Linked DNA regions of Astyanax mexicanus. The protein of the gene in region 1 interacts with the protein of each later gene in a biochemical or structural test. Links are inferred from orthologs where the notes say so. Each region holds a gene or a part of one and is shown on either strand. Other genes may lie near its edges.

Region 1 (7,961 bases):
TTAAGTAAAAAGCTTAAGATGATACAGAAGTATTTAACCTCTACTATCTATACTGCAGAGTAATGAATGGGAACACATTTTCCTGACCAACAGTTAAGAGAGTAGAAAGTAGAATCTTTCTACTCTACCATTGGTTTACCACATGCTTATACACTGTAATTATTACACTCTTAAAAACCAAAGTAGGCACAAAGAAACTGGAGTACTCAGAGGAAACCCATGCAGATACAGGGACAGCACACACACTTTCTCACAGATAGTGACCAAAACAGAGATCGACCCCACATCCCTAGGCCCTACTTGTGCACTACCGATGCCACTGTGTGATTAAAGAGCTGAATTAAAAAAGCATTAGTTGAAAACTACAGCTTTGGAAAAAAAACAAAAAGACCACTTCAGTTTCTGAATCAGTTTCTCTGATTTTGCTATTTATAGGTTTATGTTTGAGTAAAGTGAACATTGTTGTTTTATTCTATAAACTACAGACAGCAATTCTCCCAAATTCCAAATATAAATACTCTCATTTAAAACATTTATTAGCAGAAAATGAGAAATAGCTGAAATAACAAAAAAGATACAGAGCTTTCAGACCTCATATTCATAAAGTTTTAAGAGTTCAGAAATCAATATTTGGTGGAATAACTCTGTTTTTTTATCACAGTTTTTATGCATTTTGGCATGTTCTCCTCCACCAGTCTTACACACTGCTTTTGGATAACTTTATGTCTTTACTTCTGGTGCAAAAATTCAGGCAGTTCAGTTTGGTTTGATGGTTTGTGATCATCCATCTTCCTCCTGATTATATTCCAGAGGTTTTCAATTTGGCAAAATCAAAGAATCATCATTTTTAAGTGGTCTCTTATTGTATGTGCATTTGCACATCTGTGCCAGGAATGGGTCTAATTTAAATTAAATAAAAGCTTTTATTAGGAGGGGTGTCCACAAACAATTGGATGGACGTGAACTGAATGTACTGAAAGTTAAAATTAAAGTTTTAAAATTAAAGACTACTCAAACATAAATGCAGTTCCATTGAGGTATGAATGGACTTTTAATAAATGCATTTTCAAGTAGATTCAGGAATATTTGATACCTGTAACTGCACTGATTTCTGCAGTGCCAAGAGTTTATTCACACATATTGATATTTTATCCACATATCTACTCAGAGACTGATACAACAGACTACTGTCCAACTCTGAACAGAACACTGTGGACAACACACCACTAGACACCAGTCCTGATCCAAACACAGGCCTGATTAAATCAGACAATGTCCTGCTTATGCAACTGCTGAGCAACTGTTTTTCTCCACTCCTGCAGCCGGTAATATGAATACATCACCAAACAATGTGGAACTGATGCTTCATCAAGACAAGAAGATGAGCTCTGGGTAAGGAATGCATTACTAAACTGAGGCAGATTCAATCAATTACTGTGACTTTTAGAAACTTCAGAGAGTTTATTCAGAGAACTGAATAGTTTACATAATATAATATTAATTATACCACAGTTAGTTCCGACCCTGCAGTGTGATTGGCTGAGAAGAGTTTTATGAGTGACATTATCAGCCGGTAATGCACTTTAACCAAAGCTCTCCATGTATTACTGGTAACCTAGCAACAATGCAGCGCTTACAAGCCAAATACAAATACAAATGCGATATCATTATACACCACTGGGAGCCGCTGGATCCCATAGACAAAGTGAATAAACACCATGTCTCCAATAGGCGGTGCGGACAAAGACGCGGTCCCACAAATAAATAAGCTTAACGATTCAAAAATACACTTTATTACACACATTATCAGCCACCAATATCATGTTAAGAGTTGTTATCAATAAAATAAAAGCTTAAATGTATATATTTTCCAGTTCATTCAAACGATTGCTAATCTTTAACCACTTATAAATTATGAGTTTCTTTGATTTTACCAAATTGAAAATCTCTGGAATATAATCAAGAGGAAGACGGATGATCACAAGCCATCAAACCAAACTGAACTGCTTAAATGTTTGCACCAGAACTAGCATAAAGTTATCAAAAGCAGTGTGTAAGACTGGTGGAGGAGAACATGATGCCAAGATGCGTGAAAACATGTGGGTTAATGCACCAAATATTGATTTCTGAACTCTTAAAACTTTATGAATATGAACTTATTTTCTATGCATTATTTGAGGTTTGAAAGCTCTGCATCTTTTTTGTTATTTTAGCCATTTTATTCAAACATAAACCTATAAATAGCTAAATTGGTTAGACTGATTCAGAAACTGAGGTGGTCTCTTAATTTTATCCAGAGCTGTATACATGTTATTTCCTGGGCACAGAAATGGCACTGATTCGGTGGAATATGTCATGTACTTTTCCATATTACGTATACTTTTAAAAAATAACTTAAATGCACTTTTCTTTTCCAAATGAATGCCTCCAGCTATAAACCCATAGCAAATAGAAACAATAAAACAACAGATTAAAGCAAAACTCAGTCTGAAATTCGCGTATATCGTAAAAATAAGCTGGAAAATGATCTGAAATGCTGTAAAATGATGAAAAAGAGAAGGAAAAATTAAGAAAATCTGTGAATATAATCCATATATAAACTATTTCTCTAAAACAACCTGTTCAGAGCCGCTGCTGAGAGCGACTTCAGCGCTAAGCTTTAACCTGACACACAGAGACTCCGCTAAATCAGTTAAAATCCGCCATAAACCGCCAGAAAACGACAAAACACGCGAAGTTTTACAGCAAATAAACAATAAACAGGTAAACACACAGCGCGCGCTGATCGGGCTTACGCAGCGAATCTCCCGGGTAACCTCCGCCAGCCTGCTGGAATGTGATTGGCCGGTCGCCGCCGCCGCTGCTTTACGTCACCGCCGGGAGAAAAGTTCACACTGTTGCTCCTAAATCGACGAATTTCACGCAAATATCGTTAAAACGGAGGCCCTGCTCCTCTCCGCGCGCAGGACCGCGGGCACGCGATCACGCTACGCCGGATTTACTGCCTTTATCCGCGGTTTCGCTTTAAACCCAGCAGTTCCCGCGCGCCCCCTGCCGGCTGCGCTCCAGCACTGCAGCCCCGCACTATGCACCGGCTTACAGTGAGCAGTGCATTACTCAATACTGCACCAATAAACTGTTTCAATGTGAATATAAGCTGTTTTTAATGAGCCAACACACTTAAAATATACTTATTTGTCAAGTTTTAGAGTTTCTTCACTTGCACAGCCATAGATTGTCCAGAAGGTGGCGACACAGTTCTTAAAACCATACATTATGTGTACATTTACCCTAAATATTTAATATTTACAACGTGTTTTCTTTCTTTTTATGATTTTATACATTGTAAATTCAGTATTGTATTGATGTGAGTCTGATCATGGATTTAATTGTATATATTTTAATTAAAGTGCAGACTAAACTTTCTAAAATTATTGTTCATAATAATTGAGGTCAAACATTCTTTTTTTGTTTACTACATCATTTTATATGTGCCCCTTAAGTGTTTTTACTATTTTTTATGTCTTTAATATTAATCTACAATGTAGAAAATAAATTAAATGAAGAGATAAAGAAAATAATTGAATGAGAAGGTGTGGTCAAACTTTTAACTGTTACTGTATATAACTAGTTATTATGAACAAATAAAACATAAAACAATAATAAAAAATGCAGACACATTAGGCTTCATTGTTTTTTTTAATAAGTTTGTTAAAATTGCATCATCATTTCTATTTTAATTCTAAGGCTTTGTATATGTTTTACTTCAGCCAAAGAAAAAAAAATAGTGAGCATTCAGAAATTTTCTTTATGAGTATAATATAAAAGTATATATAAAGTACCAGACAAAAGTTTCATTAGTTTCAAAGTGTCATGCATAATTAGCAGATATCCTACTATAACTACTTTTAATCGCATCAGTTATACTTATGTTAAATATTATACGAGTTTCTATTAATTTATAGTATTCTGCACAAACAGCTTAAGGTGGAATTTAAGATGGAATGGGGTAAAGGTGGAACAGAACATTCTGGGAAAATGCTAATGCTAACTTCAGCATATTTTAGAACTGCTGGTCTGTAATTTCTGGCCTATAGCTGCAGCTGCTCTCTGGCTCTGCTGATGGCAGCCTGTGTGTGTGAGTGTTTAGGACGCAGGTAGAAGGGGCCACAGGGCTTCCTATCCCATAGTGCACCACTGACCCACTCTACACTCTACCAGCTAGAGCCAGGAATTACAATGTTAAATTAATAATAGTGTTCTGGTTTGTTTTGTTACACTCACCTTGATTTTTTCAGTGCTGTAAAAATTAGGAACTATGCTCCCTTGTGTGGATTCTTCCCCTCACCTCTATATGAATCGATATTGGATCATTTAGAAGAATGAAGACTGATTTGAATTTAAAAAATGATTTTGAAACACACCCTCATATAGCCCTATCCGGACGGGATTAGTTTCTCAGAGGGTCCTGGTGTCATTTTCTTTTTTATCTAGGGTCCTCTGGGATTTTATTCCAGTCCGGAGCGACCATGTACGTGTTTTCCTCAGACGTCCTCTGAGAAAATTACAGGCTGAATTAAATACTGTTTTTCACTGAACTCCTTGGTCCTCCGGTAATTTTAGTCTTGTCCGGAGTTTCATCACCTAACGTTTAATAAAATAGCTATTTGTCCACTGCCATGCACTGTAATTACACTTTGGGTGCACGTTTCCACGGAGATCCATGTAAAAAAACACAACAGCGAGTGGAAATGAAGGAGCTACTGAACACGGTGTCATGTGACTGAGAAAGCCAAAAAAAACTCACTGATCCTCCTGTTTTTTCAGTCGTAGAGTAGAAGTGTGAAAATTTTCACAGATGTCCCCCTGAGAAACTAATCCCACCAACATTGAGTTTGAAACACACCCCTAATATAGCCCTATCTGGACCGAATTCATTTCTCAGGTATTAACTGAGGTAATCTTTTATGGGGGTCCTCTGTGATTTAATTTATTCCAGTCTGGAACGACCATGTACGTGTTTTCCTCAGATGTCCTCTGAGAAAATTACAGGCTGAATTACCTACTGTTATTCTCTGAACTCCGTGGTCCTCCGGTAATTATAGTCTTGTACGGACTGCAATCTCTGAGTTTCGTCTCCTCGCGTTTAATAAAATATTTGCTATTTGTCCATTGCCATGCACTGTAATTACAATTTGGCCACGTGTTTCTGCAGAGATCCTCGTACAAAAAAAACACAACAGCGAGTAAAAATGGAGGAGCTACTGAACGCGGTGTCATGACTGAGAAAGTGTAGAGTAGAAGTGTGAAATTTTTCACAGACGTCCCCCTGAGAAACCAATCCCACCAACATTAAGTGAAACATAATATAGCCCTATATTTAATGGGGATCCTCTGTGATTTAATTTATTCCAGTCCGGAACGACCATGCATGTGTTTTTCTCAGACATTCTCTGAGAAAGTTACAGGCTGAATTACCTGTGTGTCGCTGAACTCTGTGGTCCTTCGGTAATTTTAGTTTCGTCTCTTCACATTTAATAAAATAGCTATTTGTCCACTGCCATGCACTGTAATTACACTTTGGGTGCACGTTTCCACGGAGATCCATGTAAAAAAAACATAACAGCGAGTGGAAATGGAGGAGCTACTGAACATGGTGTCATGACTGAGAAAGCCAAAACAACTCACCATTACTCCTGTTTTTTCAACTGCAGTCTGGATACAAGAGTAATCCCATCCAGATAGGGCTTATGTGTGTAGATAGATTTCCGGTAGCACTTTATTTTAAGGAACACAAATTAGTCACTTACTAATGTCTTATTATTTGCTTAATAAAGCCTTAATTAGACATTTATAAATGATTTATTCACTACTTATAAGGCTTTAACACTTCTGTGTAAGTGTTATTGGTGCTTAATTAGCGGTCTGTTATGTGGAAATTATTAATAATGGCTGTATTAGTTCTTATAGCACAATAAATGGCTCATATTCTTGGGAATAATTTACCAGATTTCTAAGTTTGGCCCTTGTCCTCCAGTCTACATGGTATGTGGCATGTTGTGCTTCAGTCTGCGGGAAGACCAATTAGGTAACCACACACTGCTGAACATTAGGGAAAGTTGCTTTGCCAAGTCTAGTCTTTAATAAGGGACTGTTTACAGTGCGGTGATGGACTCAGGGCCTGGTCCAAGATCTAAACATTGCAGTGTGTGTGTGTGTGATCACTGCTGCCCGAGCCAGCTGCCTTTTCTAGATGAGAGAGCGATCCTCGTCCTCCTTAACTTCTCTGAGACTTTCTGCCCTGCCTATCGGTCATGCTTTCAAAGTCAGAAACATTTCTCTAAATCCCTCCGCAAAGAGAAAACTGGCTTTATTTATAGCAGTGGCGGCGGCAGCAGCAGCAGCAGGGTGAACTCTGTGTCTCTGTGTGTGTGTGTGTGTGTGTGTCTGTGTGTGGGTGTAAATTTCTGTGTGGAGTCGAGGAGACCCCTGTTGGGCTCTTTGAGTCCTTCAATGGAACGGCTAGCTCGCTCTCCGGCCACGATCGTCTGTGTTAGCGCGTTGCATAACCGCCAGTGACGCCTGTGCTCTAACACTGTTGCTAGGGACAGCAGTCGTCTGCCCCACAACCCCCCCAAACTGTCATCACTCGCACAGAGAACTTTTACCACCCCGTCACGCATCCCTGCCAGCGGCGCCTGTGCCAGGATGTTTTGGATGCAGGAAGGCAGGGGTTCTATAAACTGTAAACTCTGCTTATTATTATGTAAAAATGAAGAGCTGGAAAACAGAGCTGGAAAACATGAGCTGGAACATTATTGACAGTAGTGCTGGCGGAATGGATTATTCCCCTGAATGATCATTTATGATCTATAATTTTGGTCTGTTGAATACTTTAAACTCTCCAGCTTCTTCATCTTTGCTGTGTAAGCACTCAGACAGTAATGTAGCATGTCTCAGAACTCAGACGAAATTAATCCTAGTGTAACCAATGAAATGGGTGAAGCATAATGATGGAAAAGGCTGAAGCATAACAGTGGAAGTGGATGAAATATACAGTAAATATATGGAAAGGTTGTACCATTACAATGAAAGTGGATAAAGCAGTACTAACGTACTGATGGAGCATGATGTCCCATTCTAAATGTAAGGTTTTGTAAAATAACTGTACTAATTGTATTAAATTAACTGTATTCAACTTTAAGCATTTTAAGTGTTAAAGCAGCTTCACAATCATAAACATGCAAGTGTGGAACACAGAACCTTCTAGATATATTTTCTTTCTTGCTCCTGCGCCAGACAGCTCTGACCAATCAAAAGAGACAACAAGCTTTCGCATTTAGGTATACGCACCTGTGTGAAAACAAACCAAACTCCCAAGTAAACTAACTAATCAACTGATCCGGATCTGAGAAACTAACTACAGGTGTAAGAACACCCTTAGATTTAAGTTGCAGGAACCTGCAGGAAGGTCATTTTTAGGGACATGATATACTGTATGTTGTAAGAGCGAACCACTAGTAGAAACTGTCATATAGTACTATAAACGAGGGGGCAGATTTGGAGCTGGTGGGAGAAACAGTATGTTCTTCTTGGCTCCAATGGGAACTTTTACACTGATGCTGCTGTAGATGAACTTTTACTGCCCCAACATACGAACATCCATCTCAGAGCTCATCTTCAGGGCTTATGTTCCATTCCATGCCTCATTGTCCATGTTGTAGGTTCAGTATAAGATATGATGTAGGTGTGTGATGTGGTGATGGAAGGGTTTTGAGTAGAGGGAGAAGACTGCTAGGAGGCAGGGAAATGGATTTCTCTGAGCAGATGCATGAAGCACATCAGCAGTTCAAGGTTAGAGCCTCCTCATCCCCAGCCCTTCATCCATTCTACATTATGACCATAATTTATCCCCCGGTTAACCTACTTTCATAGCAATTAAAAACCCAAGGCAAGTCTGT
Region 2 (7,231 bases), on another chromosome or scaffold:
TGCTAAATAGGAGTTTTTACAGTGGTTAATATGCTCTGATGCACATGATTAACTTGGCTTTGGCCCGATCACCATGGTGTGGTTTAGCGGGCATCACTGTGCTTATTCTAAGTGCTAATGTATTCCAGAATTGGGTCTCTGCTGAAGGGCATAAGCTCAAAGTTCCAGCTGAGTGGTACCGACCCTCTGGACTAGCAGACCGGCCACTGACCACCAGCCATGAACAGATAGGGACCAATGACCACTGGACTGGCAGCTTGCCAGATCAGCTCAACAGACTCAAACACAGGCTTTGGCATACCATAACCATGATACATTGATCAGCCATAAGATTAAAACCACTTCCAGTTTAACAAAATAGCATTGATCCTGTAACAGTTTTGCATATATTAGGCAGCGAGTGAATAGTAAGTTCTTAAAGTTGACATGTTAAAGCAGAAAAAAAGCTTAAGAATCTGCAAGACTTTAACCAGAAACAAACTAATCTTCCAGTTCAGAACATAAAGAAGGTGTTGTTAACGGTATGCAGTGGTCAATACTAGCGGTGCATATTTCTCCCTCTACAGCCCATAATATCATTATACCATTTACGCAATCAGTGAGAGCACAAGCTGAACTCTAGTGATCTCCAATCCCTCAAGAACCATCATTCAACAATATCTGATAAAACCACATTAACCAGAGATTACTTTACTAACCTTTATCATTAACAAGCTCTACAATACAGAGTTACTATATTCACTAATACCACTCACAACTTTACTGTACAGAACACAAGCTCTACAATACAGAGATACTATATTCACTAATACCACTCACAACTTTACTGTACAGAATACAAGCTCTACAATACAGAGTTACTATATTCACTAATACCACTCACAACTTTACTGTACAGAATACAAGCTCTACAATACAGAGTTACTATATTCACTAACACCACTCACAACTTTACTGTACAGAACACAAGCTCTACAATACAGTTACTATATTCACTAATACCACTCACAACTTTACTGTACAGAACACAAGCTCTACAATACAGAGTTACTATATTCACTAATACCACTCACAACTTTACTGTACAGAACACAAGCTCTACAATACAGAGTTACTATATTCACTCATACCACTCACAACTTTACTGTACAGAACACAAGCTCTACAATACAGAGTTACTATATTCACTAATACCACTCACAACTTTACTGTACAGAACACAAGCTCTACAATACAGAGTTACTATATTCACTAATACCACTCACAACTTTACTGTACAGAACACAAGCTCTACAATACAGAGTTACTATATTCACTAATACCACTCACAACTTTACTGTACAGAACACAAGCTCTACAATACAGAGTTACTATATTCACTAATACCACTCACAACTTTACTATACAGAACACAAGCTCTACAATACAGAGTTACTATATTCACTAATACCACTCACAGCTTTACTGTACAGAACAGAAGCTCTACAATACAGAGTTACTATATTCACTAATACCACTCACAACTTTACTGTACAGAACACAAGCTCTACAATACAGAGTTATCTCCACCCAACAGAGCCTCAACCCACTACAGAGACCCTCCACTCACCATAGCTTCTTTACCTAGGCTTTTCATAGGCTTTACCCTCCAGAGTCTCCACCCACTCTTCAGAGCCTCCATCTGCCAAAGCCCCTACCCAATTTACAGAACATCCACCAACCTGAGCATCCACCTACTCTATAGAGGCTTTAATCTCCAGAGCCTCCACCCACTCTCAAGAGCCTCTATCCAATACACAGAGCCTCCTTCCACCGGAACCTCTACACGCCAGAGCCTCCATCTATAACAGAGAACCCATAAACCAGAGCCATCACCTGCTCTACAGAGCCTCCATTCACTACACAGAGCCTGCACCCACTACAGAGAGCATACAATCAACAGAGCTTCTACCTATTCTCTACCTTCTAAAGCTTACACCAGCACTACAAAGCATCTACACGCCAGAGCCTTCACCTGCTCTGCAGAGCCTCCACCTGCCTGAGCATCCACCCATCAGAGCCTCTACCCATCAAACCCACAACTTGCTCTACAATGCCTCCACCTGCCTGAGCCTGCCCCTAACTGAGCCCCTATTGATCAGAGCCTTAATCCACCATAGCCTCCACCCTCTCTACAGAAGCTCTACCTTCTAGAGCCTGCATCTACTCTAAAGAGCCTCCATCCCTACTCAATTTACAGAGCGTTCACCAACCTGAGCATTCCCCTACTCTATAGAGGCTTTCTCCTCCAGAGCCTCCACCCACTCTTCAGTGCCTCCACCTGTTTTACATACTGGGGGAACCCTCAGCACTCGGAGAACAGGTGGGATGTGATGGGTTACAGGTGTAAAGTGGAGGCAGGATGGATGAGCCGTGTCTTCAGAAGCTCAGGAAACCTTTGATCTTGTTTGCTTGTTTGAGATGTGTTCTGTTCACTTATATATACCTCAAATTCACATTGTTAACATGCATTTATATAACACCACTCATCCGACTTTAGAGATCACACCTCCTTTTTTTTAGTTTGTGTGCAATCCTCTCACACCTTTATATAGTATATATACACACATATACATACCCATACAGTATATATAAATATAAAGTATATACAAAGCAGTTCCAGTTCCAGTTCCACAGTTTAATATACAGCAGAAGAAGGAAACCCTGCTCAGCTCACACTGGCATCTCCATCGATACCACCAAGCTGCCATATATCTGAGTGTGCATCTGTGTGTGTGTGTGTGTGTGTGTGTGTGTGTGTGTGTGTGTGTGTGTGTGTGTGTGCCAGGGATGCCACCAATCAGTGTAAATGCCAAGGGTGTGTTGTGTCTGATCCAGTGCATCTCTGTCCAACCCAAAGCAGCAGAAACAGAACCAAGCTCGCTCGCCTACCTTCAGCTGCAGAGACGCTGTTGATCGCCCCGACCCGAAGGAGGATGTGGAGAGAGAGAGGGATGGAGGAGAGCAAGAGAGGGACGCAGAAGGAGGAGCCTTACCAGGGAGTGGTGGAGCGAGAGAAAGAGAGAGAGAGAGAGAGAGAGAGAGAGAGAGAGAGAGAGAGAGAGAGTAAGAGAGAGAGAGAGAGAAAGAGAGAGAGGCTGACGTTATTATCTGTGAAACCCACAGGGATGCTTGTGCCTGACAATGTGATCCCACTGATAGAGAGAGAGAGAAAGAGAGAGAGAAAAGAGAGAGTAAGAAAATTATTAAAAATCAGAAAAGAGACAAAGAGACAAAGTAGTACAACAATAAAAGAGAGATAAATGAGAAGAAAATAAAATAAAAAATAAGGATTAAGAAAGTGGGAAAATGAAAAAAGGAGAAAATAATAAGAAAAAAGGAAACAGAGACAGACAAGGACTGAGGCAAGAAGTGAAAGAAAAAGAAATTAAGAGAAAAAAAGAAATGAAAGAAAAAAAAAATATGAAATGAAAGAAGTAGTGAGAAATAAATAAGAGACAATATAGAAATGAGAGTGACCAATTGAAAAATTAGTGTAAAATTAAAGAGAGTCAGAACTGAAAGATTGGAGAGACAGGAATAAGAAATAAGAGAGAGAGAGAGAGAGTGATGAGAGAGAGAGAGAGAGAGAGAGAGAGAGTGATGAGAGGAGAGAAAAAGGAATGAAAGAAAAATTAAGGAGAAAGAAATTGTGTGAATGTTTGAAACAATGGGTAATGGGTAACAATAGAGAGTAAGAAAGAGATAGAGAGAAGATAAAAATGAGAACTAACATATTAAGAAAAATATGAAGAGAAACAGAGAAAGTAGGGAAAATAAAGAGAGATAAAGATAAAGAGAAAAAGAAGAGAGAGAGAGTTACTGTAATGAAGGGGATTTCTTGCCTGTTTAATTGTTAGCATCACTGCTCTCCCTCTCCCTCTCTGGCTCTCTCTCCCTGTTGGAATCCCCCCAATCAGAAGGACCAGGATGAAGTCCTTGGTTCTGATTGGATGCTCAGTCGTGATGAGAACGGCAACGGTTTTCACAGCTGAGATCAGCCCTCAGAGTGTGGAAATTAACACACACACACACATACACTCGGAGCACTGGGACAATGACGAGCAAGGACATCCCCTCGAGAGACATACAGTAAGTGTGTGTGTGTTAAAGGGGAACTTCACCAAATTTAAAATTCTCCACATAGTTTTATAATAACAAAGTGAACATAGGGTTTGTTATGGAACGCTTGGTTCTAGATAATCATCCCCTGTTAGAACAGTTCACTATAATGGTGAATGGAAGCAGACAGATGAAGCTCTAAAACAGCTCCTAACAGCAACAAATGGCAGAAAATAGTCAGTAAAAAAAACAGTATTCGCTCAGATGATGCACATTTTACCAAAAACATTCCATATAAAACTAAGAACAAGCCAAAGTTATAGAAAAGAAACTATTGTCATGTCCTGTGATTTTTAACATGTTCAATGCAAGCTAAAAAAACATTGCTCTGGCACGTGGGATATGTGGACCTCAATATTAAACCTTACTCCAACTCCCATAATTCACCTGCACCCACTATCAGACCACACTCCAACTCCCATAATTCACCTGCACCCACTATCAGACCTCACTCCAACTCCCATAATTCACCTGCACCCACTATCAGACCACACTCCAACTCCCATAATTCACCTGCTCCCACTATCAGACCTCACTCCAACTCCCATAATTCACCTGCTCCCACTATCAGACCTCACTCCAACTCCCATAATTCACCTGCACCCACTATCAGACCTCACTACAAATCCCATAATTCACCTGCACCCACTATCAGACCTCACTACAAATCCCATAATTCACCTGCACCCACTATCAGACCTCACTCTAACTGCCATAATTCACCTGCACCCACTATCAGACCTCACTCCAACTCCCATAATTAATCAGCACCCAATATCAGACCTCACTCCAACTCCCATAATTCACCTGCACCCACTATCAGACCTCACTCCAACTCCCATAATTCACCTGCACCCACTATCAGACCTCATTCCAACTCCCATAATTCACCTGCACCCACTATCAGACCTCACTCCAACTCCCATAATTCACCTGCACTTGCTATCAGACCTCACTCCAACTCCCATAATTCACCTGCACTTGCTATAAGACCTCACAACAGGTGTTTATATGCATTCCCACTTCACAATCTAGTTCCTGTACAAATGACTGTCCCGTTACTTTTGGCATGTGTTCTATGATTTCTAAACTGCTAAAAAGCTTATTTCTACAGTAATTCACTGTTTTTGATGCAGCATGCGTATTGACATATTCAGCCTACAGCTGTTTAGTTCCACCCACTCACACTGAAGACAAGCATAGTGTTTTGGTTCCAGCAAAAGTCACCAAAAGTTTCACAGACTGCTGACACAAATGTGCAAATGCACACACACAGCTTGTTTAGCCTCTGTCATTGAAACTTGTTGCCAATACAATAGGACTCTCTGGAGATAAATGTTTAAATATGAAGATTTTGGCACCATGCTTAATATCAGGTGTAGTTCAGAGGGGTGGAGTTCCATTCAGTACTTTTGGCCATATATTGTAAAATAAAATAGGGGTATGGTGTAATGTACAAGCCCTGGCCTGCCACTTCACACACACACACAGAGACACACACACAATCTCTGAGAGATTGTGATTTCCCAGGAGAGCTCCATCAATAGCAGCCATGTGATTGTGTGTGTGTGTGTGTGTGTGTTCTGGCAAGGGCATGTACTAATTAAAGAGATGAATTCAGAGGCTAAGTTGACCTCTAGTCTGGAAGGAGGATTCTAACGGACCCGCTATTATTCCGACCCGAGTTCATTAATACTGAACCAGCCTGCAGACAGTCCAAACACACACACACACACACACCAGTCATGCATAATATTATGACTGCCTGATGTGTTAGCGTGTGTTGTCTGGGTATGAGTGGATCAGATACAGCAGTGCTGCTAGAGGTTTTAAACAATGTGTTAAATCACTCACTCTTTTACACACTCCTACCTACAGCTGCTTCACCTTTTAGATAAAATAAAGACACAGACAGAAGTTTGTGTTGCTCATTCTCAAGTTTTTCATCAGTTCCCACAGGATGCTACCCACACAATGCCACCCACAGGACATTGCCCACAGTACACAGTACTGCTGTATTTTTGTTCCATTTGTGTCAGCACAACACACACTAACACCTTATGCATCAGGGTCCTGAGCATTAGGGAACAGGGTGGTTAATAATTGACAAGAGGTTAATAATAAGGTATGGACAGAAATAGATACAGGACTACAGTCTGTAATTATGGTGGCCAGTAGGTGTTTCCAATAACTTGGCCATATAGTAAGTGGAAGAACAATGTAACGTAGGTGTCTTGCAATAAAGTGACCATGTAGTGAGTGAAGACACTAGGTTGAGTAGGTGTTTCCAGTAAAATGGCCAGTAAGTGTAAGCAGGAATGTGAAGGTTGTGAAGCGAGGCCTGTATCCAGATAACAGCACAGCCGAGAGTTTCTAATGTATTGAACGTTAACTTTGGGGTGTCTGTAATGTGGCATTACCACACTGCCAAGCGGGTTCATTGGGTATAAACACACTCCAGTGTTTGCGCAGTGTTTTGAATGTTTTCTTGCAGTGTGTGTGTGTGTGTGTGTGTGTGTGTTTTGAGTTCCTGAGGACAGTCGTTGCAGACGCTGTGCAGCAAATGATCCTTTTCACAGCCGGAGCTGCCAACCAAGTACCAACTCGCTGGCAGTAAATGTAATTTGATGAGAGCAATGACTTTCTCCACTGCCACACACACACACACACACACCTGAACCTGCAGACCCTGCAGTTTTATGCATAATAAACAGAAGCTGCATGCTGCCGTGTGCCCGCTGAGGTGCCACCCTTCTGGAATCAGTTCCATAAGCTGACTTTGCGCATATGTCCACCCTTATAGAGGGTATACTATAGAGGGTGCCATACTGATAAATAATATACAGTATATAATATACACTGAACTGTCTGATAAGGTCGTCTGCTCTTTGATCTTCCCTTGACTCATCAGATGTTACATTTCACACATTTGATGTAACTTTGATAAGAAGTTCAAAGACAAAACTTCAAAGGGACACTTCTAAGCTTTCATGACAAAGCTAACAGTAGGAAGACTCATCTTAAAGGCATAGTTACCCAGGATATTCAGAGATGTTCAGTGATGTTAGCC

The links.
Region 2: the proteins of ston2 (region 1) and syt1a form a complex in vitro, tested with the Homo sapiens proteins (2 studies listed by BioGRID). The link is inferred for Astyanax mexicanus from reciprocal best matches to the Homo sapiens genes STON2 and SYT1.

Annotation. Positions count from the first base shown.
Region 1 is NC_064421.1:7,591,064-7,599,024, forward strand, and holds the start of ston2 (stonin-2), read right to left. Parts: upstream 3,002-7,961; 5' UTR 2,774-3,001; intron 1-2,773. UniProt on the Homo sapiens protein: Adapter protein involved in endocytic machinery. Involved in the synaptic vesicle recycling. May facilitate clathrin-coated vesicle uncoating.
Region 2 is NC_064409.1:25,636,820-25,644,050, forward strand, and holds the start of syt1a (synaptotagmin-1a), read right to left. Parts: upstream 3,001-7,231; 5' UTR 2,932-3,000; intron 1-2,931. UniProt on the Homo sapiens protein: Calcium sensor that participates in triggering neurotransmitter release at the synapse. May have a regulatory role in the membrane interactions during trafficking of synaptic vesicles at the active zone of the synapse.